Arabidopsis thaliana: one gene and its partners. The protein of the gene in region 3 purifies or fractionates together with the protein of the main gene of each other region. This does not show direct contact. Each region holds a gene or a part of one and is shown on either strand. Other genes may lie near its edges.

What was found.
Region 1: the proteins of PPC2 (region 3) and AT5G01320 fractionate together in Arabidopsis thaliana (co-fractionation; one large-scale study listed by BioGRID). This does not show direct contact.
Region 2: the proteins of PPC2 (region 3) and AT4G33070 fractionate together in Arabidopsis thaliana (co-fractionation; one large-scale study listed by BioGRID). This does not show direct contact.
Region 4: the proteins of PPC2 (region 3) and 2-Cys Prx B fractionate together in Arabidopsis thaliana (co-fractionation; one large-scale study listed by BioGRID). This does not show direct contact.

The regions. Positions count from the first base shown.
Region 1 is NC_003076.8:128,525-133,973, forward strand, and holds AT5G01320 (Thiamine pyrophosphate dependent pyruvate decarboxylase family protein), read right to left. Parts: upstream 3,164-5,449; 5' UTR 3,102-3,163; coding exon 2,583-3,101; intron 2,497-2,582; coding exon 2,333-2,496; intron 2,256-2,332; coding exon 1,605-2,255; intron 1,505-1,604; coding exon 1,198-1,504; intron 1,131-1,197; coding exon 960-1,130; 3' UTR 739-959; downstream 1-738. Other genes in the region: APTX (APRATAXIN-like protein), read left to right, coding at 119-436; PDC3 (pyruvate decarboxylase-3), read right to left, coding at 4,014-4,184, 4,266-4,572, 4,845-5,449.
Region 2 is NC_003075.7:15,951,292-15,957,073, forward strand, and holds AT4G33070 (Thiamine pyrophosphate dependent pyruvate decarboxylase family protein), read right to left. Parts: upstream 3,513-5,782; 5' UTR 3,386-3,512; coding exon 2,855-3,385; intron 2,763-2,854; coding exon 2,599-2,762; intron 2,528-2,598; coding exon 1,877-2,527; intron 1,787-1,876; coding exon 1,480-1,786; intron 1,399-1,479; coding exon 1,228-1,398; 3' UTR 966-1,227; downstream 1-965. Other genes in the region: AT4G33060 (Cyclophilin-like peptidyl-prolyl cis-trans isomerase family protein), read left to right, coding at 149-316, 523-663. UniProt on the Arabidopsis thaliana protein: May play a role in ethanolic fermentation during anoxia.
Region 3 is NC_003071.7:17,733,308-17,741,076, reverse strand, and holds PPC2 (phosphoenolpyruvate carboxylase 2), read left to right. Parts: upstream 1-1,909; 5' UTR 1,910-2,167; exon of another isoform or gene 2,168-2,267; 5' UTR 2,268-2,397; coding exon 2,398-2,565; intron 2,566-2,899; coding exon 2,900-3,291; intron 3,292-3,380; coding exon 3,381-3,465; intron 3,466-3,539; coding exon 3,540-3,762; intron 3,763-3,842; coding exon 3,843-3,946; intron 3,947-4,043; coding exon 4,044-4,128; intron 4,129-4,224; coding exon 4,225-4,379; intron 4,380-4,660; coding exon 4,661-5,659; intron 5,660-5,749; coding exon 5,750-6,136; intron 6,137-6,242; coding exon 6,243-6,536; 3' UTR 6,537-6,775; downstream 6,776-7,769. Other genes in the region: GRF9 (general regulatory factor 9), read left to right, coding at 7,302-7,374, 7,602-7,769. UniProt on the Arabidopsis thaliana protein: Through the carboxylation of phosphoenolpyruvate (PEP) it forms oxaloacetate, a four-carbon dicarboxylic acid source for the tricarboxylic acid cycle.
Region 4 is NC_003076.8:1,917,080-1,922,533, reverse strand, and holds 2-Cys Prx B (2-cysteine peroxiredoxin B), read right to left. Parts: upstream 3,455-5,454; 5' UTR 3,155-3,454; coding exon 2,927-3,154; intron 2,527-2,926; coding exon 2,452-2,526; intron 2,335-2,451; coding exon 2,253-2,334; intron 2,164-2,252; coding exon 2,084-2,163; intron 1,910-2,083; coding exon 1,784-1,909; intron 1,665-1,783; coding exon 1,551-1,664; coding exon of another isoform or gene 1,518-1,550; exon of another isoform or gene 1,440-1,517; coding exon 1,323-1,439; 3' UTR 1,109-1,322; downstream 1-1,108. Other genes in the region: LOG7 (Putative lysine decarboxylase family protein), read left to right, coding at 156-299, 391-492; AT5G06280 (uncharacterized protein), read left to right, coding at 3,685-4,155.

The DNA of each region.
Region 1 (5,449 bases), on a different chromosome or scaffold from region 3:
AGTGTAGACTTCAGATTTGCACTTTCTGTTCGGTCGTTTTAGAGGTTAAACCTAAGAGTTCATTAGCAAAATCATTGAAATTGATATGTTTAACATACATTGAGTTTTTCTCTTTCAGGTTCCCTCGATGCGACAACTACACTTACACGTTATAAGCCAAGACTTTAATTCAGATAGTTTGAAGAACAAGAAACACTGGAACTCTTTCACGACCTCGTTCTTCCGTGACTCAGTTGATGTACTTGAAGAGGTCAACAGCCAAGGCAAGGCCAATGTGGCGAGCGAAGATCTGTTGAAAGGTGAGCTGCGTTGCAATCGGTGTAGAAGCGCACACCCAAATATTCCAAAACTTAAATCACATGTCAGAAGCTGCCATTCTCAATTTCCAGACCATTTACTCCAAAACAATCGCCTTGTGGCTAGAGCAGAGACGTAGTAGTTATAACGACCGGTTCTATTTCGGTTAGGATTTTTTTTTCTTTGTTATCTAATTGTTACGGGTAATATATATTGTGATTTTGGTTCAGATTCAGTCTCTGTAAAAATTCATCTCTGTTCTTAGGTTTTCATCTTCTTCTGGTTATTAAGTTTTTGATTTTGTTCTTGAGTTATAAACTTAAATGGCAAGAAAACAAGACAGATAAAAAGAAAAAAAAGTCAAATAAATTTTAACCCAATTGAGATGTAAGATGGTTTAAAAATGTTTGATTTAGGTTGAATCAATTGATTTTTTTCGGACTTTACATATAAGAAAAAGCACAAATATTGAAGAATATTAGGGAAAAAGGGAATTGTATTACACCATCAATGGTAATGGTACAGTACAACTAACTGGAAAGTATCAAAAGCAATTAAAACCAACGGTCGAAAATTCGAAAATTCGAACAGAAAACAATCTAATTCAATTGCAAAGAAACGAGAGATGCTTGAGTCACACTCAAGATTCTTTTCTCTTGCTTCTACTGAGGATTGGGAGGACGACCATTAGCAGCTGAGACGCGAGATCCCCACTCAAGCAACTCTTTGCTTGTATCATCTTTGTGAACAATCACTTCAATGAAACAAAGACTATCTTTCTTCTCCGTTGTCGCAGTCTTAATCGCTTCCACTAACTCCTCCTCGTATCTCACCTGCCAAACACAATGTTACTTCAACACCAAATTCATACGTTAGTTACTAGTTGTAATCATTAATTACCTTTGTGGTCCAGCATTTTCCTTCACCGTTATGAATAGCATCGACAAGACCAGTGTAGTTCCAGTTCTTGATAACATTGTAAGGACCATCATGAATCTCAACTTCAATGGTGTAGCCACCGTTGTTGATCAAGAAGATGATCGCCTTCTGTCCGTTACGAATCATCGTGGATATGTCCTGAGCAGTCACTTGGAAACTCCCATCTCCAATGAAAGACAACACTCTCTTCTCCGGGGTTGCTTGGGCGTATCCTAGAGTCGCACCAACAGACCAACCAATGGATCCATACTGCATCTGAAACTCGTACCTACAATATAGAGAACAACTTTTCTCAAAACTTGTGTTTGTTTCGCTATTGTCACAATGTTAGAAATGTCAAAGATTCAGTTTCTTTGTTAGACACGTACCCACATCCTTTAGGCAGCTTTAGCTTCTGACAATTGAACCAAGAATCACCAGTTTCAGCAATCACAGCGGTTTCACTAGAGAGCATCTTCTGAATGTGTTGGAACATTGCGTTGACCCTCAATGGCTCTCCTGGTTTGCATTTCAATGGCTTACCTTCAGGTACAAAGATCCTCTCATAGTTCTCATAAGCTGTCTCGTTACGCTTAACCCTCTTAGCCAACTCCCTGAAGAAATCGCTCATCAGAACGCAACCAAACGTTGGACCATTAGCCACAACGACTCGATCAGGATGCACAATTATTGCTTTTTCTTTCTTGAGGAGAAGAGAGTAACCTACGGAGCTGTAGTCGTTGAAGATTGGACCTGCGAAGATGTAAGCATCCGCAGATTCGACAATCTCAGAGCAGAAAGGTGTGCTTACTGCTCCCCAGTAAGTGCCAATGAAATGAGGATGGTTCTCTGGTACAAGGCCTTTTGTAGAAGGCATCACTGCGAGAGGGTAGCCTGAAGCATCAGCTAGCTCCAAAAAGGCCTCACTTGCTTTAGCCACACGCAACTTTGGGCCACCAACCATAACTGGCTTCACTGCCTTGTTCAGAAACTCCAATGTTGCTTCCACCGCAGCTTCTAAACCCATCGTGTTGCTCATCCTAAGAAACAATACATACAATAGTGAGAAATCTAAAACAAACGTTGATTCGATGAGTCTGTTTAGAGTAATGATTACCTAGGAGTTAGGTCAAAAGGGACAGGATCACGAGCAAACGTAGGATGAGGAGTTGCAGCTAAGTTGCAACTGATGCTAATGTACACAGGCTTGCTCTCTTTCAAAGCTGTTGCTATCGCCTTGTCGATCTGTTCATGAGCATCCTCCAAATTGTTCACCACAGCCTGAAAACAAACACATAGTTAAAATCTAAGCAAAGGAGATATATATGTGATGATCAAGACTAGTTGATATTGAAATGTGTTAATACCTGGTAGCAAGTAACAGTTTGGAAACACCTAAGCTCTTGGCTAAAGTCAGGTAAACCGATGGTGTGATGAAGAATCCGGTTAGTGCCAAAATCGTTGGAGTTAGGACCTCCAACGATACATATAACTGGTAGGTTCTCACTGTACGCACCAGCGATAGCGTTCAAAACGCTGAGTCCACCAACGGTGAAAGTCACGACGCAAGCACCGACTCCACGAGATCGAGCGTATCCATCGGCGGCGTAACCGGCGTTAAGCTCGTTACAGCATCCGATGTTGTTGAGCTCTGGCTCGGCGATGAGGTGGTCGAGAAGAGTTAGGTTGAAATCACCGGGAACAGAGAAAACATCGGTGACTCCGGCTTGGACAAGACGGCGGGATAAGTGACGTCCTAGAGTCGATTCGGAGGTTGTGGTGATGGGAGCGGAGTCTTGGATTGTTGCGACGGCGTTGCTTGGTGGACTTCCGATGTCACCAGTTGTTGGCTTACACGTGTCGATGGCTCCAATTTTGGTGTCCATTGGAAAGCTTATTATGAAGAAAATGAAACCTTTTAGTATTTATTTTAGTGGTGATGATGAGTAATAAATTGGAATTATTAGATGGGTTATATAGTTGTACATGTTGATTAGTGCAAATTACATTCGGTTTCTGACTTCCTTGTGCCAAAAGCATAAAGATTTACTGAAATATTTTTGCAATTTTCTTGCTGTCATCTTACATTTAGTTACTTTTTTACAGATAGAAATTTACTTATATAAATTGATACTTATATACACGAAACACGGACGTTTTATTTTGCACTAAAAAATTTATAATTTTTTGTGATACGAAAAGACATTTTACGTTAGAAGATGATGAAAATAAATTTATTTTCAAACTATATTAGAGTATAACATGGATTTTTTATTTTATTTTTGTTATTAACTATATATGTATCTTTGAACTTGTTTGCCAAGATGAACCATTAATGCAGCATTAAGTCTCTGATTTTCGTCTTAACTATGATATAACTTACATTAAGTAGCTGCCAAAGAAACGAAAAAGAACCTAAAGAAATACTAGATTCGTATTGTTCAAGAATTTTATTACCTTATATTGAGAAGTTAGTATAATTATTGGAACTCAATAATTTACATGCACGTAAAGGCATTAATAAGATTAGAATATTCCATCCTGATTCCATCAACAATTTTCATTTCACGTTTAAGAAAAAGCAGAAATATTGAAGTTTATAATGAAAACTTTGTCAACAAGGGGTTCCCTAATATGAAGGATATTAAAAGCAAAATCAATTAAAACCAGCGGTCAAAAAATCGAAACCAGTACTTAATTAGACATAAGAGAAAGAACAAAAGTAGCGATGTGATTAGATTGCCAATAAACGATAGATGCTTGAGCGACACTCAAGATTCGTTTCTTTTCTCTTGCTTCTACTGAGGATTGGGAGGACGACCATTAGCAGCTGAGACGCGAGAGCCCCACTCAAGCAACTCTTTGCTCGTATCATCCTTGTGAACAATCACTTCAATGAAACAAAGACTATCTTTCTTCTCCAATGTCGCCGTGTTAATCGCTTCCACTAACTCCTCCTCGTATCTCACCTACCAAAAACACAACATTCATAATGTTACTCTTCAACCCTGGACTCATATGTTTAATTTCCAACTGTAAACATCAATTACCTTTGTGGTCCAGCATTTGCCTTCACCATTATGAATAGCATCGACAAGACCAGTGTAGTTCCAATTCTTGATCACATTGTAAGGACCATCATGAATCTCAACTTCAATGGTGTAGCCACCGTTGTTGATCAGGAAGATGATGGTCTTCTGTCCGTTACGAATCATTGTGGAAACGTCCTGAGCCGTCACTTGGAAACTTCCGTCTCCAATGAAAGACAACACTCTCTTCTCCGGTGTTGCTTGAGCGTATCCTAGAGTCGCACCAACAGACCAACCAATTGATCCATACTGCATTTGAAACTCGTACCTACAATATAGAGAACAACGACTTTTTAAAACTCTTGTGTGTTTTTTCTTTTCCAGAGAATTACTAAAAAGTTCTGGGGATATCTATATAGGCCCATAAATCATCTCAGGCTAAATACCAAGGCATTTTATATCGTTTCCAACCAAGTACATATATACCACCACTCTTTAACCAGCAATTTCTAGATGTTGACTTTACTAGATGAGCTTATATTGACTGCTTCAACAATGTTAAAAGGTAAAAGATTTAGTTTCCTTTTTCTAGATACGTACCCACATCCTTTAGGCAGCTTAAGTTTCTGACAATTGAACCAAGAATCACCAGTTTCAGCAATCACAGCGGTTTCATTAGAGAGCATCTTCTGAATGTGTTGGAACATTGCGTTGATTCTCAAAGGCTCTCTTGGTTTGCATTTCAAAGGCTTACCTTCAGGGACAAAGATTCTATGGTAGTTCTCATAAGCCGTCTTGTTAGGTTTCACCCTCTTAGCCAACTCCCTGAAGAATTCGCTCATCCGAACGCAACCAAAGGTAGGACCATTAGCCACAACGACACTATCAGGATGCACAATGATGGCTTTTTCTTTCTTGAGGAGAAGTGAGTAACCAACGGAGCTGTAGTCGTTGAAGATTGGACCTGCGAAGATGTAAGCATCCGCGGACTCGACAATCTCAGAGCAGAAAAGAGTGCTCACTGCTCCCCAGTAAGTGCCAATGAAATGAGGATGGTTCTCTGGGACAAAGCCTTTGGCAGATGGCATCACTGCCACGGGGTAGCCTGAAGCATCAGCTAGCTCCACAAAGGCATCCCTAGCTTTAGCCACACGCAACTTGGGACCACCGACCATAACGGGCTTCACGGCCTTGTTTAGAAACTC
Region 2 (5,782 bases), on a different chromosome or scaffold from region 3:
AAACTTGTCCTTGCTTTATTGTGGCATACTTATTCCCTAAAAGTTAAATCTAATTTTGTCAGAGCAACTGTATTACTACTCATCTAATTCGATACTCTTTCAGTTGTTACTTGAACTGATCATCGTTTCCCTCCTGCGTTTTCTTCAGGTGTTAGCAAAACTCGAGAAGTTTAAGCAGTCTATCTCTGCAAAACCGTTTACCTCGAGTAATGAACCAGTAGTGTTGACCTCGAGTAGTGAACCAGTTGACAATAAAGAAGAAGATCTCTCTGATTGGAAGAATGTAAAGCTCAAGTTTGCTCCTGAGCGTGGCAAGGTAAATCTCTAAGGTTCCATCTCACTTGAGTGCGGATCTAATGGATTCATTACTACGTTGTTCTGTTTAGTTAACATTAAAATCGAAAATCCAGTAGTTCATAGGATAGTGCATGCTAATCACAAATGATTTCATCAGAAGGCTGAGCTATGTTTGTGTTTATAGTGTCCTGTGGAAGAACCTGACAGTGTGAAACTATCCTGCAGGATAAAATGTCACGCAGGGATGATCCAGATGCGTATATGGTGGTTGACCCTCTTCTTGAAAAGGGAAAAGAGAAGTTCAACAGAATGCAAGCCAAACAAAAACGAAGGGAGCGAGAATGGTCTGGAAAATCTCTTGCCTGAGTTTGGAAATCTTAACCATTTAATTTTGTTTTCTTATGTTGATCCTTAAGATGCCCGTTCACTGTCAAAATCTCTCCTGTTTAAACTTAGATACATTCAGAGACATGAATGAGCATCTTAAATAAGGTCACTAGCTCCAATGATACAGAACTAATGTGTTAATACATGTTATATGTAGGAAACTTAGCTATATAAGTGATATGATTTTAAGCCCTTCAACTGACATTTATCTTCAATAGATTGGTCATCCAGGTTGGATGGTATTCTTCACTAGGATATGTGGTTCAAAATTCTAGCAAAACATGGTTAGTTCGATTTTTTAGCAAGTTTAAATGCAAAAAAGATCATATGATATTAACCAAATTGATTTAGATTGAACCATTTGGATTTGTTCAATCTAATGAAACTGCAAAAGGAGCTTTACTTTATTCCATGATAAAGCGTACATGGAAAGAGATACTAATAAGTTTGAAACATGATTAAACCCAACGGTCGAAAAATCAACACTTATCAGAAAATGTCACTAAATTGGTAAGAAGCATTGAAGATTCTGTGTTGCTTCTTCTACTGAGGATTGGGAGGACGGCTGTTAGCAGCAGAGACGCGTGAGCCCCACTCAAGCAACTCTTTGCTCGTATCATCCTTGTGAAGAATCACTTCTATGAAACATAGACAATCTTTCTTCTCCGTCGTCGCTGTCGTAATCGCCTCCACTAACTCCTCTTCGTATCTCACCTGTCAAACACACCAAATTCATATGTTAGTTTATAACCAAAGTCTGGCTAAAACTCCATTGTCATCAATCTTTTTAATTACCTTTGCAGTCCAGCAATTGCCTTCACCGTTATGAATGGCGTCAACGAGACCAGTGTAGTTCCAGTTCTTAATCACGTTATAAGGACCGTCATGAATCTCTACTTCAATGGTGTAGCCACCATTGTTAATCAAGAAGATGATCGTCTTCTGTCCATTACGCAGCATTGTTGATATGTCCTGAACCGTGACTTGGAAACTCCCATCACCGATGAATGCCAACACTCGCTTCTCTGGTGATGCCTGTGCGTATCCTAGAGTTGCACCAACAGACCACCCAATCGATCCATACTGCATCTGAAACTCGTACCTACAATGAAGAAAGCAGGTTCAAATCTTGTGCCTACTTCACTATAATAAGTGTAAAGATTAGAGTCTCTTTTTTTTTCTGGACACTTACCCACATCCTTTTGGCAGCTTTAGTTTTTGGCAATTGAACCAAGAATCACCGGTTTCAGCAATCACAGCGGTTTCACTAGAGAGCATCTTCTGAATGTGCTGGAACATTGTGTTAACTCTCAATGGCTCTCTTGATTCACACTTCAATGGCTTACCTTCAGGGACAAAGATCCTATGGTAGTTCTCATATGCAGTCTCGTTACGCTTCACCCTCTTAGACAATTCCCTGAAGAAATCGCTCATCAAAATGCAACCAAAAGTAGGACCATTGGCCACAGTGATACGATCAGGTTGCACAACGATGGCTTTTTCTTTCTTGAGGAGAAGCGAGTAACCAACAGAGCTATAGTCGTTGAAGATTGGACCTGCAAAAATGTAAGCATCCGCAGATTCCACAATCTCAGAGCAAAAAGGAGTGCTCACTGCTCCCCAATAAGTTCCAATGAAATGAGGATGGTGCTCTGGTACAAAGCCTTTCGCAGAAGGCATCATCGCCAAAGCATAGCCTGAAGCATCAGCTAGCTCAACAAAGGCATCACAAGCTTTAGCCACACGCAACTTAGGACCACCAACCATAACTGGCTTCACAGCCTTATTCAGAAACTCCAATGTTGCTTCCACCGCAGCTTCTAAACCCATCTTGTTGCTCAATCTGATAAAACCATTTGTGAGTTTTAATTCTCGCAGAAACAGAGTATTGATCAGAGTTCAAGTATAAATTACCTTGGAGCTAGAGAAAAAGGGACAGGATCACGGCTAAATGTATGATGAGGAATCGCTGCTAAGTTACAGCTTACACTTATATACACAGGCTTGCTCTCTTTCAAAGCTGTTGATATTGCTTTATCAATCTGTTCATGAGCATCATCTAAATTGTTCACCACCGCCTGAGAAACAAAAACAGAACCAAAATCATTCATAATCCGACGCTAATTAATCTTCAAAATATTTCTAATTAGATCTGATTTTTTGTGATTACCTGATAACAAGTCACCGTTTGGAAGCACCTAAGCTCTTGGCTAAAATCAGGTAATCCAATGGTGTGATGAAGAATCCGGTTAGTGCCATAATCGTTAGAGTTAGGACCTCCGACGATACAGATAAGAGGAAGATTCTCGCTGTAAGCACCAGCGATCGCGTTTAAAACGCTGAGTCCACCAACGGTGAAGGTAACAACGCAAGCGCCGACTCCACGAGATCTAGCGTAACCGTCGGCAGCGTAACCGGCGTTTAGCTCGTTACAACATCCGATTAGGTTGAGGTCCGGCTCAGCCATGAGGTGATCAAGCAAAGTGAGGTTGAAATCTCCGGGAACAGAGAAAACATCCGTAACGCCGGCTTGGACGAGACGACGAGCTAAGTGACGGCCGAGAGTCGCGTCGCAGTAGTTGATGGTGATAGCGGAGGAAGGAACAGAGTTGTGGATTGTTGCGACGGTGCCGTTTGTTGGACTACAGACGTCGCCGTTCGTCGGCTTGCAATCATCGATCGATCCGATTTTGGTGTCCATGGAAATGGGAAGGTTTGAGTTCACTAACAGAGAAATTAAAAAACTGTCAAGTTTGTGTATGTGTGTGAGAGATATACTCTTTTTATTTTTGGGATGAGTAACAAAATGAGAATGGGAGAGGTTTTTATATAGTTGTTGGATTAGAGACTAGGAGGAATACATGGGTGGTTTTTTGACTAGTGGTTTTTGGTTTCTGTTTTCTTGTGCAAAAAGCAAAAAAATAATATCTAACTTTGAGATTTGACCCAAACATTCTTCTTCTTAATTATTGTTTATGTCGGTCTAAAATGCATTTACTGTTTTAGTATCATACTACTCCCAGTAAGGCTGTAACAGATTATTACCATTGGAAATATCTTAATTTTCCAAAATTGAACATCAATACATCAGTTATTTTTGTGATTCTCCTCTTAATTATGAACTAATTTGTTATACGTGGGAACAAAGTTATAATATCCCCATTCCAAATTTGAGTTAATTTCAGGTTTTTAGCCGGAAACAATAATTTGTATACTCATCAGTTATTATTGAGTTAATTCTTTGGGTTCACTTTTAAAGTTTCAATGAAGAAGTGTAATTGCTAGCGTCAAACGGCAAGAGACGTGATGCCATTTGCATTTGGTCAGCAAACTCTATTAGAAAAACATATTCGGACGATTATCGTCGTTGAGATGCAGATGGTTTTGGGGTTTGCTTCTTATAGTATAATCAGTTAAGTAAGAAATATCTACAAATTTTAAATTCACTTAATCGCTTTGGTTATATACTAATCACACAAAAGATACACGTAGATCTATGATGGAATCTTGTTTTTGTCGTCGTAACTTTCAAGATCAATAGTGATGTTACGGTAATTATATGATTAAGCTCACACATATATACTGTCACACATACATATAGTGTAATTCAAGGGAAATAGCTTACAATGTTTTTTTTTCTTTTTTTCTTTTCATATTGATATTTCCTAGAAAACTGTATATCAACATATCAATAATTTTTCATAATGTAATTATACATAAATTTATGCAATTTTCTTTTTTTTGGGTAGCAATATTAAGTATTTATGCAAAAATTATTTGACTATGATCACTTTTATTTTTTAGTTCTTATAGATTGAATATATATATATAAAATCCAAGCGTGCAATAATAGATTTTATAGTTTTGAGGATTGAGGTTAAAATAGTCATACCCAAAAACTTGTATAAAAGCAATATAAACAAAAGCTTTTACTAAATTAAATCATTTATGTATATAAGGGTACCTTATTTAAATAAAAAAAATTAAATCATTCAAAATAATATGAGCAGACCTAAAATATTGGGGCCACCGTCATTCTAAACCGTCTCATTGTTTGTTTCATAAACCAACGGAGTCGCCGGTAATCTCCTTTGCAACTTGATTTCTCAACAACTAATAATTAATTACTTTTCCTACCTTTTGGTTAAACACATGAAATTAATTACTATATCCCAAACCACTATGATCGTGGTTTTAAAGAACGTCGAAATAGGCCACAAAAGACCAAAAAAAAAAAAAAAAAAAGTACGTCGAAATAATTGAGCTGTAGCACTTTTTGTTTTAGTAAAGCTAATGGTAAGTGTTTCAATTGGTCAATTGATTGTTTTTATATGACCCGTTGTGTTGAGTGTTCTTCTACGTGACGAGACAAAACAGAAAATAATATTCTTATAAGCTTGAAATTGAAATACGGCGCATGTTCAATACTGAGAGGTGAAAACTTATGTGCTGCAACGGTGATACACGTGACCTTCATGCGTCTCCTAGTATTTCGTCTACGGCCCTAATGGTGACTCGTATGTCGTAACGTTAACGTATCCGATTCGACGACGACGACCAAGATTTCTTTTTCAATAGAATATTTAAATTTGTACAGAACTGAAGACGTTTCGAGAATCAAAATATATACTTCAAGAAGTAGCTTGCAACACAATAAAGTGCGTCAAATTTTATTTGTTCTGTTCCGAAAGCCCCACTTTTTCCCAGCGTTCAGGCTATTTGGACATTGGGCCTAATGGCCCTAGCTAGTTAAATGGCTAGGCAAATTTTCATTATGAATTAGATTTTGAAATGTTTTATAAGGCTTGATCATGATGAGCTTTCTGCTACAGAAGTCTCACATTATCAATTTCATTTCTTCGATAAGTGGAAAACTACATAATGCATTTGGTTGTCCCGTTGCATCCAGTTTATATAGCAGTAGGTTTTATAGCTAATTTGGGTTATAAAAAACGGATTGACTTTGGCATAGATTGATTAGAAACAAGGCCGTTTTTGTAGAGATATTCAAGATTCCTATCCAATCATGTAATCTTCTTCCCCATAAAACATTTTCAATCTTTAATATAAGAAAACAGTTCATATGGCATAAAAGTTT
Region 3 (7,769 bases):
TTCCCGATGGAGAGCAAATATATCTTATTCGAGTGATCAAGTTCATAAAGAGCTCGAATTAGTTATGCTTTTATTCAAAGTAGAGCAATTTCATAAAACTATAATATATCTTAACTGTAATAACAGATCAGCTGGCTAAATACTATGATGCTACTACTGAAGATGAGATTGCAAAACATAAAACTTGTGGCTTGATGAGTTCATATAGAAGATATAATAATTATGCAAACCAAAATATGTATACGTACGAATCTTCTTTTACCATACGGATCGTCGTCGGATACTGCTTGTCTTTTTCTCTGTTTTTTTCTCCTAAATATCACATATATATTCAATGTGAGAAAGTATGAGAAACAGGACAAAATATAGATATTGGTTCGTAAAGTTTTTAGTGGCTAGAGTTAAATAAGGAATTAAATGAGAGCAAATCTCTTTGATATACACCTCATATCAATGAAAAAACTTAATATTGGTGTATTTGTTTCTTTCGTCCGACTCTTGAAGAATTAAAAGGTTATATACAAAAAAAAATTTGCCCTTTCACATTTTCTAAAGATCATATCATCTTTGATATAATCGTTTGATGCATGTTTACTCATTCATAAACATTTTATAAAATCTTCTATATTATTTTGATTCGAAATTTCACACTCAAAACATAAAATTTCCAAGGATAACCAATGAAATGAATACACAAGATATAATATAAGTTATCACCATAAATTACATAATCAGTATAGATAAAGAAAATGTTCTGAATACCAATTTAGTTTATAAATTTATTTTTTTCGTTTATGATTTATCAATGGTTCAGTTGAGTGGTTTTTAATTAAAAAAATAATATTTTGTTCAACAAAAATTCAGAACGATGGTTGGAAAAAATAAATTAAAACAATGCGTATATTGGATTAAAAATAAATCATATTATATGATTCTATTTGTCCGGGATTTATAAATTGATATGATACGATAAGGTCAGTGATAAAATAAATTGATAAGATAAGGACTTTATATGATTCTATTTCCACCCGTTGGAATCTTTGGTTGGCTATTTATTCTTAGATTCGAGAATCAATTAGCGAAAACAAATACTAGTTTAAAAAAGAAAAAAACTATATGATAAGAGACCGTAATAGACGTGGTACGTTTTAAGTCAAAGGTCAAAAAGCCGAATTATATATTTCTGGCTCCTTCCACAACTTTTGGAAAATTTCCTTCGTAGTTTTCACTTGAACCCATTTTTTAACAACAATTCTTCTACTTGGATTGATAATTCAAAAGGAAACTAACTCTCCCATAGTTAAAACTGAATCACTGTTAAAAAAAAAAAAAAGTAAAGTAAATATACTAAATCAATGTTTTTTTCTCTGGAAGTAAATATACAAGTTTAAAATTAAAGGAGAAGAGAAGCTATATATTGCTTTGCCTCACCATTTAGGAGATAATTCATATGAAGCAAAGAAAGCATATCCTTTGGCATATTCGATAATATATGGCATCTAATCATCTGTATAAGCTTTTCATATTTTTGTTAGATGCTTTTTCGTACAAATGCATTAAGATAAAATTAAACAAAAAAACAAGATATGATATTCAGTTTCGTGAAATATTAAAAGAAGTCAAAAAAAGGGAAAAATGAAAAGTCGAATTGGTGGACAGTGGACTCATTGGTCCACTTAAAAGTCATCAGAACCGTACACATGCAAGCTTGGTCCATTTTCGTATGACGACGTACAAGTTACAACATTCAAAAAACTTCCTAATTTACAAGTTTTTGCTTATGTTTATGGGAAATATTTTTCTGCAACGAAAAATCATTAAGACTATATTTTTCTGTTGGCAAAGACTTGACTCAGTCCCTTTTTACTGCCCATTAGTAATCTTTGGAGTGAAAATACGAATTTAACTAATTTTCTAAAATTTGATTAAAGTCTAAGAGAGAAAAAAAGATTTCGGCTATAAATAAGTTACAACTACACATCGAATGGACTAGAAAATTTTCGCTTCTTATATTTTTTTAAAAAGAAAAACCAAAAAATCCTTTGAAACTTTTTTAGCCTGTCGCTTCTCTTTCCATCGTCTTCCTCGTGAACGAAACTTCTCGATCTTCTTTTCTTTTTTTTCACCTGTTTTTCGGTATCACGAGAATACTACACTTCCCACTCCAGTAATACGCCACTCCTTCTTTTTTTTTTTGTCTCGTTTAAATTTTTATAAACTCCATAATTTTATCTTAAAGTGAATCTTTTTTGTTTTTTTTGTTCCAGCTTTATCGGATATATTTCCTTGATTTTCTCCGATTGTGGTCAATCTGGAAAATTATTGAGAATCTCTCCCTCACTTAACCAAAAGCGTTTTTAATCAGATAGAGAGAGAGGAAAAAGCATCAACCAAACCATGGCTGCGAGAAATTTGGAGAAGATGGCTTCTATTGATGCTCAGCTCAGGCTTCTTGCTCCTGGCAAGGTTTCTGAAGACGACAAGCTTATCGAGTACGATGCTCTGTTACTGGATCGATTTCTCGATATTCTTCAGGATTTGCATGGCGAGGATGTCAGAGAATTCGTATGTTTTCCTCCTTTTCTCACTCTTTCTTCTTTCTTAAATACTGGATTTTTGCTAAAATTTTGAACTTTTAGTTACATAGTGGGTTACCCATCAGTGAATCATCATGTGGGTTTGTTGTTTCTGCTTAGATTATCCATAAAGTTGAATCCTTTTCAGTGATATCGAGCAGATCAGATCACACTGTGTTAAGATTGTTCATGTTATTCTCTGTTTTTGTTGGGTTTGTGAGTATATTTGTTTGCTTCAGTGGCTCATTGAGTTTGCATCTGTGATTGTTTCTGATGATTTTCAGTTTACTGAATCATATAATGTCTTTTGTTTTGTCTAAAAGGTTCAAGAATGCTACGAAGTTGCAGCTGATTACGATGGAAACCGCAACACTGAGAAGCTTGAGGAGCTTGGAAATATGCTGACGAGTTTGGATCCAGGGGATTCAATTGTTGTCACTAAATCATTCTCCAACATGCTTAGCTTGGCTAATCTGGCTGAGGAAGTCCAGATTGCTTACCGGCGTAGGATTAAGAAACTCAAGAAAGGTGATTTCGCTGATGAGGCCTCTGCAACAACGGAATCTGACATTGAAGAGACTCTCAAGAGGCTTTTGCAGCTTAACAAGACTCCTGAAGAGGTCTTTGATGCTCTTAAGAATCAGACTGTTGACTTGGTTTTAACTGCTCATCCCACTCAATCTGTTCGTCGGTCTTTGCTCCAAAAGTTTGGAAGGTTTGTTTAACTTTTTTAGTGTCTTGACATTTTGGATTCCTTGTGTGTGTGACTTGACTGATGTATTTTTTTGTCTCAAATGTTTTCAGGATTCGTGATTGTTTGACGCAGTTATATGCAAAGGACATTACTCCTGATGACAAACAAGAACTCGATGAAGCTCTGCAACGAGAGGTAAGCGAAACTAAAGAACTCAATAAAGCTTCTTTTGCATGAATTCTACTAAAACTCTGTTTTTGTTGCACCAGATTCAAGCTGCTTTTCGCACAGATGAAATCCGAAGAACTCCTCCTACACCGCAAGATGAAATGAGAGCAGGGATGAGCTACTTCCATGAGACAATCTGGAAAGGAGTTCCAAAGTTCTTAAGACGTGTTGACACAGCTTTAAAGAACATTGGAATCAACGAGCGTGTTCCTTACAATGCGCCTCTCATTCAGTTCTCTTCTTGGATGGGCGGAGACCGTGATGGTACACTCTTGCTTCTTTCTTATCTCAAACCATTAAAACATGAATTGGTTCTTATGAGTGAAAACATTTTCTGAATCTAGGAAACCCGCGAGTAACTCCTGAAGTTACAAGAGATGTATGCTTATTAGCTAGAATGATGGCTGCTAATCTCTACTTCTCCCAGATAGAAGATCTTATGTTTGAGGTAGCAAAAATTTTATTCACATCACAGCAATTTAGTTTATTGGTTAATGTTAAGGACAGAGATCTTATTTTTTTTGGTTTGATGTGTTTGTTTGCAGATGTCTATGTGGCGTTGCAATGAGGAACTTCGGGTTCGTGCAGAACGTCAAAGATGTGCGAAGAGGGATGCAAAACACTATATAGGTGTGTGTTACATTCTTGACATTTTTTTATGTGTCCGACATGTTAACAGTTTGTTATATTATGTTTGATGTATGATCGATTTTTGGATGGATGTAGAATTCTGGAAACAAATCCCTGCGAATGAGCCATACCGAGCTATTCTTGGAGATGTGAGGGACAAGCTGTACAACACACGTGAGCGTGCACGTCAGTTATTGTCAAGCGGAGTTTCGGACGTTCCCGAAGACGCGGTTTTCACAAGTGTGGATCAGGTGTGTTTTCGTGCTGTTTGCAGATCAACTAGAGATGTTTAAGCCATATAACTGCAACTTCAATTCCTTTGAAAATTAGAATCGTATTTGATTAAACATGGAAGCTATACCATACTGATGCATAGTTTATTTGGTAACTATTTTTCTAAATTTGAAAATCCCAAACCAAAAGAGAACCAAAATATGGATTGAACCACTCTAAGATCAAAGCTGTTGTTTGTTTCTTGTTTGATTGATTTTATAATTTTCTAACCTTTGATTGTTTCTGTTTCTATCCAAAGTTTTTGGAGCCACTTGAGCTTTGTTACAGGTCGCTCTGTGATTGCGGTGACAGACCTATTGCTGATGGAAGCCTGCTTGATTTCTTACGCCAAGTGTCAACATTTGGCCTTGCTCTTGTGAAACTTGATATCCGTCAAGAATCTGAAAGACACTCTGATGTCTTGGATGCCATCACGACGCACTTAGGTATTGGTTCTTACAAAGAATGGTCGGAGGATAAAAGACAGGAATGGCTGTTATCTGAGCTAAGCGGGAAACGCCCTCTCTTTGGACCGGATCTTCCCAAAACCGAAGAGGTTGCAGATGTGTTGGACACTTTCAAAGTCATTTCTGAGCTTCCTTCGGATAGTTTTGGTGCTTATATTATCTCAATGGCCACTGCTCCATCAGACGTGCTCGCTGTTGAGCTTTTGCAACGCGAATGCGGGATCACTGATCCTCTGAGAGTTGTCCCGTTGTTCGAGAAGCTAGCGGATTTAGAATCCGCACCTGCTGCAGTTGCCCGTCTCTTCTCCATAGAATGGTACAGAAACAGGATCAATGGAAAGCAAGAAGTCATGATCGGGTACTCTGACTCGGGCAAAGATGCTGGTCGTTTATCAGCGGCTTGGCAGTTATACAAGACTCAAGAAGAGCTCGTGAAGGTGGCAAAAGAATACGGAGTCAAGCTGACAATGTTCCACGGAAGAGGTGGGACCGTTGGACGAGGAGGTGGACCTACCCATCTTGCTATTTTGTCTCAGCCTCCGGATACCATTCATGGGCAATTGAGGGTAACGGTTCAAGGTGAAGTTATTGAACAGTCTTTCGGAGAAGAGCACTTATGCTTTAGGACTCTTCAGCGTTTCACAGCTGCAACACTTGAGCATGGAATGCATCCACCGGTTTCCCCTAAGCCTGAGTGGCGTGTCCTCATGGATGAAATGGCTATAATTGCCACTGAAGAATACCGTTCTGTTGTCTTCAAGGAGCCCCGTTTTGTTGAGTACTTCCGTCTGGTAAGTTCTTAACCAGCTCAATTACTCCTCTCTTAAACAAATTGTAGTTAAAAAAGAGAGTCTAAGTTCAGGTTTGGGTTTGTATTATAGGCAACACCAGAGCTCGAGTATGGAAGGATGAACATAGGAAGCCGACCATCAAAACGTAAACCAAGCGGAGGAATCGAGTCGCTGCGTGCAATCCCGTGGATCTTTGCGTGGACTCAGACGAGGTTTCACTTACCCGTGTGGCTTGGCTTTGGAGGAGCATTCAAACGCGTGATACAGAAGGACAGTAAGAATCTCAACATGCTCAAAGAGATGTACAACCAATGGCCATTCTTCCGTGTCACAATTGATCTAGTCGAAATGGTTTTCGCCAAAGGAGATCCCGGAATTGCGGCTCTGTATGACCGCCTCCTCGTCTCTGAAGAACTTCAACCATTCGGTGAACAACTTCGAGTTAACTACCAAGAGACCAGACGCCTCCTCCTCCAGGTATTACTTACTTCCACTATAACCACATTATAGATGTCCCATCCGGTTTCCATGCGGTGTCAGACCATACAAGCTAACTTAACCCGTGCGTTTCGTACCTTTCCAGGTTGCAGGTCACAAAGACATTTTAGAAGGTGACCCTTACTTGAGGCAAAGGCTGCAGCTTCGTGACCCATACATCACGACATTGAACGTGTGTCAAGCCTATACACTCAAGCAGATCCGTGACCCAAGCTTCCACGTCAAAGTCCGGCCACATCTCTCTAAGGACTACATGGAGTCTAGTCCAGCGGCTGAGCTCGTGAAACTGAATCCAAAGAGTGAATACGCACCGGGACTTGAAGATACGGTTATCCTCACCATGAAGGGTATCGCTGCTGGTATGCAAAACACCGGTTAAGGCAGTTTAAAACGTTCTTGTACCATTCCCTAAATCTACGCTATGTAATGTATTATGTTCTATGATGTGATGAAATCTCTCCAACTCCTATCCCGTACGCTTTTTAATGAGTATGATAATTTCTTGTGTTATTCTATTGTTGTTATGTTACCATATCTAGGAAATATATTTCTGAAAGAAACAAGAAAAGAAATCTTTCTTTTCGTTCTAAGATGTTGAAATTACCATTCGTAATATATAAACTCCAAAAATTAAACACTTAAATCCAAAAAATAAACTCTAAATTTTAAACACGAAAATTTGGACAAAATAGGTATGTCATTAAATTCATTTTTTTTGGAAAAACAGTTCCTTAGTTATTCCCTAATGAAGATTAATTCCTTCTAATGTTATATAGTCCATTATTTGAATAAAATATAAAATTGTGCTGAGAAGATAAAGTACAATTAAAATGAGTGGACTGGTGGATAGAGAGTGATGACATGTCATGATATGGTTAGACAGAGAAGAACCAAATGGATCCCACGAGGAATAATATAATGAATAAAATCACTTACTGACACAGACCATTGAGTAGTAATTACCCCGTTTAACCCGCGTTAATTACGCTTGTGTCCCTACGCGCGTCTCAAAGATCTCTCTCTTCTCTGGAGAAAAAATAAAACAAAAGAACAGCGTTCGCCGAGAGATATACATACTCGGATCAGTCGTCAAAAGCTTTGGAATTTGATACTTTTGATTTTTCGAGAATCTTGAAAATCAGTCATGGGTTCTGGAAAAGAGCGTGACACTTTCGTCTACCTCGCTAAGCTCTCTGAGCAAGCTGAGCGTTATGAAGGTAAGGAATCTTCTTCTTCTTCTTCTCACTCGAATCAGGTCTTTTTGATAGCTTCTTGAGCTCGATTTCTGTTTGATTTTACTGGACTTTGATATCATCGAACGGGTTTCAATCGTTTGGTTTGATTGAGAGTTTACGAATGGGGAACTTCTTATCAAGGAATTAGATTCAAAAGTCTTGATTTTTAGCAGATGGGTATTGAAAAATGTGAATTCTTTTTTTCACAGAAATGGTGGAATCAATGAAAAGTGTTGCGAAATTGAATGTTGATCTGACGGTGGAAGAGAGGAACTTACTCTCTGTGGGTTACAAGAACGTGATTGGTTCAAGGAGAGCTTCGTGGAGGATCTTCTCGTCGATTGAACAAAAGGAAGCAGTGAAAGGGAATGATGTTA
Region 4 (5,454 bases), on a different chromosome or scaffold from region 3:
TATGCATTGAATATAAAAAACGATGTGTTGTCACGACGTACGACTACATAACCCCTGATTGTGAGACCGGAAGCTTCCCATGTCGTAATCTTTCTTTTATACTATTTAAAGATATTTGGTTTCTAACATTATTTTTGGTCAATAATTTTTGACAGGTGGGTCTTCTTAACGTGGATGGTTACTACAACTCGCTGTTAACGTTTATTGATAAGGCTGTGGACGAAGGATTTATATCCCCAATGGCTCGTCGAATCATCGTCTCAGCTCCAAACGCTAAAGAGTTGGTTCGACAACTCGAGGTATATTTCGAGCCTCATATTCGTGCCAATATAAGACATTCGATACATGGTTCATTTGTTGATGGTACGTACTCTAAAAATGATGTTATAGGAATATGAACCGGAGTTTGATGAGATAACATCAAAATTGGTTTGGGATGAAGTGGACCGGATAAGTTATGTACCGGGTTCGGAGGTAGCTACCGCTACGTAAGGATGTATTATGGGGAGTTTATTTTTTGGTAAAAGCAGTGTACAGCGGAAATTAAGTTGTTTAACATCAGAAGGTAAGGGCGGAAAGAAGACAAAAGAAAGTATTGGGGTCGTTTTGATAAACATTATTTTGTAGGGGTGGTTTAAATGTGTGAAGTGGATAAACCATGTGGGTAACTGCTAACCGCGTATATACCAAACCCTATCACTCCCCACTTGTCTTTGTACATTTTGGTTTAATGGAAAAAAAGGATAGGGCTATTTTCAAGAAATGACAAAACGATCCTTTTCTTTTGGTTATTTTCTGATTTTATCCATAACTTCTAGTTTTTAACTTTTTTCTCGTGTCAAAGGTATCAGATTTTTATTTAACCAGAAAATTATCATGTACGATATTTTTTAATTAATCCGAGTGGAGAATATTCCGAGTAATACCACAACATAATTTTGTTGTCGGCTACAGATGGAGATTAGCTTAATGAGCACTCAAGTTTATTAAACAAATCAATCAGATAGTTATCTAATTCCAGGGAGCTGTGACCTCACATGATATTTTTCTAATTTATTTTTTGCAATGGTCAAAATACTCTGCCTCTTTGCATTATTATAAACTATTTACACAAGTGAAAGACATAAATATTGGCAAAAGAAAAGAAGGATTTCTTTATTTTTGATTCAATTTAAGGAGAATCACATAGCAGAAACAGGAGAAAGATGAGATAGATACAAAGGTTCTTTGGCTAAAAATAACAACTCTGCTCCAACTTTGAAAAGACGAATAAAACAACTCTGATTGCTAATTTTCACCAAACATGTGTTCAATCTTAGCCTCTAGATAGCTGAAAAGTATTCTTTGCTGAGCTTGGGGTCAGGTTTCATTGATTTCTCCCCTGGCTTCCATCCCGCAGGGCACACTTCATCCGGGTTTTCTTGAACATACTGTAATGCCTGCAAGACAACATCACAAGAAGCAACAAATAACGCATCTAAACCCTAAACCTCAAAAACAAATCTCTCTTTATCTATCTATCTCAATGATGTGATTTTTCTCTTTATTACCTGGAGGGTTCTCATTGTCTCATCAACACTTCGGCCAATACCGAGGTTGTTGATGGTGGAATGCTGAATGACTCCTTCCTTGTCTATGATGAAAAGCCCTCTCAGTGCAATGCCCTGTACTTATATATTAGCAAAATGCTTTGATTCAAAGTGGCTATACGTTACTTGAAAGAACACAAGTGGATTGGACTCAATGCAAGTATGATGCAACTATGTCAGAAGAAATCGTTTACCTGATCAGGGATGAGCACTCCAAACGATTTTGAAATGGATTTAGTGATATCCGAAACAAGAGGATAATTCAGATCACCGAGCCCTCCCGACTTTCTGTCTGTTTGGACCCACGCAAGATGCGAGAACTACATGAACATGGAATCAAACGTTCCATTATCCAAAAGAAAACGTTCCATTCGATTATCAGACTGCCACTTGCCAAGGTTCTGAGTACATCAAATACTTGAAACCATTTTTCAAAATGCTGAGACCAGAATGTTCTTTCTTGGTTCAGGTGGAGAAATAAAAATTTGACTTACCACACTGTCGACAGAGACCCCTAATACTTCGGTGTTTAGCTTCTCAAATTCTTCATAACGGTCACTGAAGGCAGTAATCTCTAGAATAAGCAAAGAAAAATTGGAAATTTCAGTGACTATGAGGGCGAGAGTTTCAGTTTTGAAGCTATTTCCTTAGCAGAATACTAACCAGTGGGGCAGACAAAAGTGAAGTCCAAAGGGTAGAAGAATAGAATAACATACTTTTTGCCAATGTACTCAGAGAGCTTCACCTGAAACCATGATTCATAGGTCGATTACTATCAGAACATTGCTCTACTGCATTGACCTTAGCTTATGACACTTAACTAACTAACATGTTAAATAAGGTTTGAATGGAATGAAAGTACCTTTATGAACTCTTGATCAAAAACTGCCTCAGCTTCAAAATCAGGCGCCTTATTACCGACCAGTGGTAAATCATCCTGCATTCATAAAACATATAAACACTAGTCAGTCATCGATCATCGAATTGTTTAACCACACAAAATGTTCTTTAACTGGTGTTCACTATCTATGCAGGGCTCAAAAGATTTCTGTGTATGAGCCAAATGTGAATCATATTAATTAATTTCAGATCATTTCCTCCCATCCCTAATTAAACCCGAAAGAAGGGTAACAAAAATGTCGCTCAATTCAAATCGCAGAACTCTAAAAAGTTTAAAGTTTAGTCTTTTATCCAATGATCTCAAAACCCTTAAGAGATAAGAAGCAGGAAAATAGTACGGATCCCATTATAACAAGCTAACGAATTCATACAACAATCATAGTGAATGAGAAGATGGAGCAAATACAAGAAATTTATGGCATTGCGAGTCAACTTACAGCCTGAGCCTTGACGGCGAAGTTCCGGCGTGAGGCGGAGCGGTTGGTGGTGAGGGAACCGAGACTGGAGAACCCGGAACAGAGAGAAGAGGATGATGCCGAGGAAGAGGGTATGATTCTGGGGAAAGAGACGGTAGGAGATAAAAGAGAAGACTTGGAGGGAAGAAGAACCCTAGAGGAAGAGAGTAGGGTGGTGGAAGAAGAAGAAGCTATAGACGCCATTGACATTGACTCTGTTCTCTCTCTCTATCTCTCTGTGATTGGTTACTTAAAAAAGAGGTCTTGTGGTTTGGTTTGAGGATGAGGTGGATAAACGTGAGGGCGTGAGAGAGACGAATCGGATAGAGAAACCAAATAGCTGCTCTTCTAGATTTTTCAGACAAGAAGAAAGAAGTGGAATGTTCGATGAACCGGAACGACACCGTGTTGATGATCATACTTTGATAATTAAATCAAAATCTATTTTTAGGCTGGTTGGATTTCCGAATATATTTCCATCTAATCTTCACATCAAAAATAGTAATCAATCCTTAAATTTTGTAATTTGCCTACTATCTTCCATTCCAATCATAATAATTAAGAAAATACAAATAAAGTAAACGTATCTCTTTACTAATTAATACAACACAAGATAGTGACAAATGTACATATCATAGAGATCAATAATTGGACCTCCTTCCTTACTTTAAACACTCGCAAAACCCAATCAGCCACAAACTCACAAACAAACCAAACAAAAAAAAAGAAGAAGAAAGACTATGGAGATTCCGCCGTCACAATCTCCGGCGACTCAACTCCGCCGTACAAAATCCATATCCAACATGACGACTCTAACTCCTCCAGAAGTTCCTTTCGACATAGCTTCAACGCCGCCGTCTTCGTTCGATTACGAGCTCATCTCCGTAAAACCATCCTCTTTCGTAGCTTACACTTCTCTCAGAGATATCATCTCTTCTCCGATTAACTCTTCACTCAATTTACCGTCGATCAACGGTAGCTGCTCTCCTGTTATATCCACCGCCGCCGGAGATATCTCGATTCGTAACCGTCTCGTTAAGCAAGCTGCTTTGTCTTATCTTCAACCAACGGTGCTTACTTCGTCAGATGATTCTGCTGGTTCTCAATTCTTCCGCCGCGTTTGGCTTCACTTATCCGCCGGGTTTCAGTTCTTGCGACGTGTGTTTGATTGGATTTTTCAATCGTTTCGTGTTCCTTTGATTGTCAAATAAACTTTGATTTGGTGAGAAAATTGGATTTTTCATGAATTGAATTGTATACAATAAAGTGTTACAATATTCAAAACATATCAAAGGAAAAATCTTTTTTTTTTTGTTCGTCTGTGGTCAATTTGAAGTCATGTGAAACTCCGGTTAACCGGCGGTTTAAAAACCCGGTTATTGAGATTGTGGCTTAGAGTAGTATAGCAGGCACCTTCTAACGGAGAAACATTAAAGAAGTTCTTGTTTGTTGTTGATCTTTTGACTTTGATTGGTTTTTATTCTGTAGACAAAGGAAGTGATGGATTTGGTGAGAGTGCTCTGATGCAGTAAAGCTTGAGGATGTATATGTTTGTTTTGAATACCTTATAGATGGTGAATTGTTGTTGCAATTGCTTGAAGATTTGGAGGCTCCAGTGGAAGATACATTGCAGTAGTTGAGCAATTACTAAATGTCCTCTTATCTTTAAGACAGAGATTCCTTGATCGATGTCAGATTCATGTTTTGACATGTATGGACATAGTAGCTTCTCGTAGACATAGCTAAGTCCCTGTTAGAAACCAAGAGAAGAAGATTGGTCGTTTTGTGAATCTAAGAATGAGAATGAATTCTCATTAGATTTTTATTGCATTGTACTGTAGTTAGTACCTGTGATTTCGGGTAACATAAGTAGATGAGAAGAGCGATTTTGATCTCTCCGTAGAGTGGTAACCTGCGGATAGATGAGATGAATCAGAAGGTTTCATACAATAAAGAAGCATATGATGGAGATTTGAAGTTTGACATATAAGTACTAACCATGATACAATGATGTCTCCTATCCTTTCGAAAACAGTAAGAAGAGCCACCAAGATCCTACAAATCAAATTCGGATTTTTGATAAGATGGTTATGAGAATAAGATACCCTTATCCAAAAAAGGAATCTTCTTTATTAACAATTAGTAAGCTTTACCAATATTGGCACCAGTATCTAAGTTCGTGAATCTCAAGCTTTTTCTTTTCCACGCTTTTGTAGCATCCATATGCAGGGTACGCGTAACCCACAAGCAATCTGCAAATTTTCCAGAAAATCTAAGAGAAAGAAGAACGAAAATGCCTAAATATAAAACCAGATGAAGGAAAGACGAGAGAGAAAGAGGGTCTAACATTATGATTCTTGTGATGAAATCTCCGAGCATCTTTGCATCAACTAACAGACTTTAGGGTTAGAGTCTTGAATCAAACCCGAAATCCGGATAAACTGGTTCATTAAGAGCATATATAAGAGAAACCAAATTAGGTTTCTGAAAAGTTTCAGGAAAACTGCAAA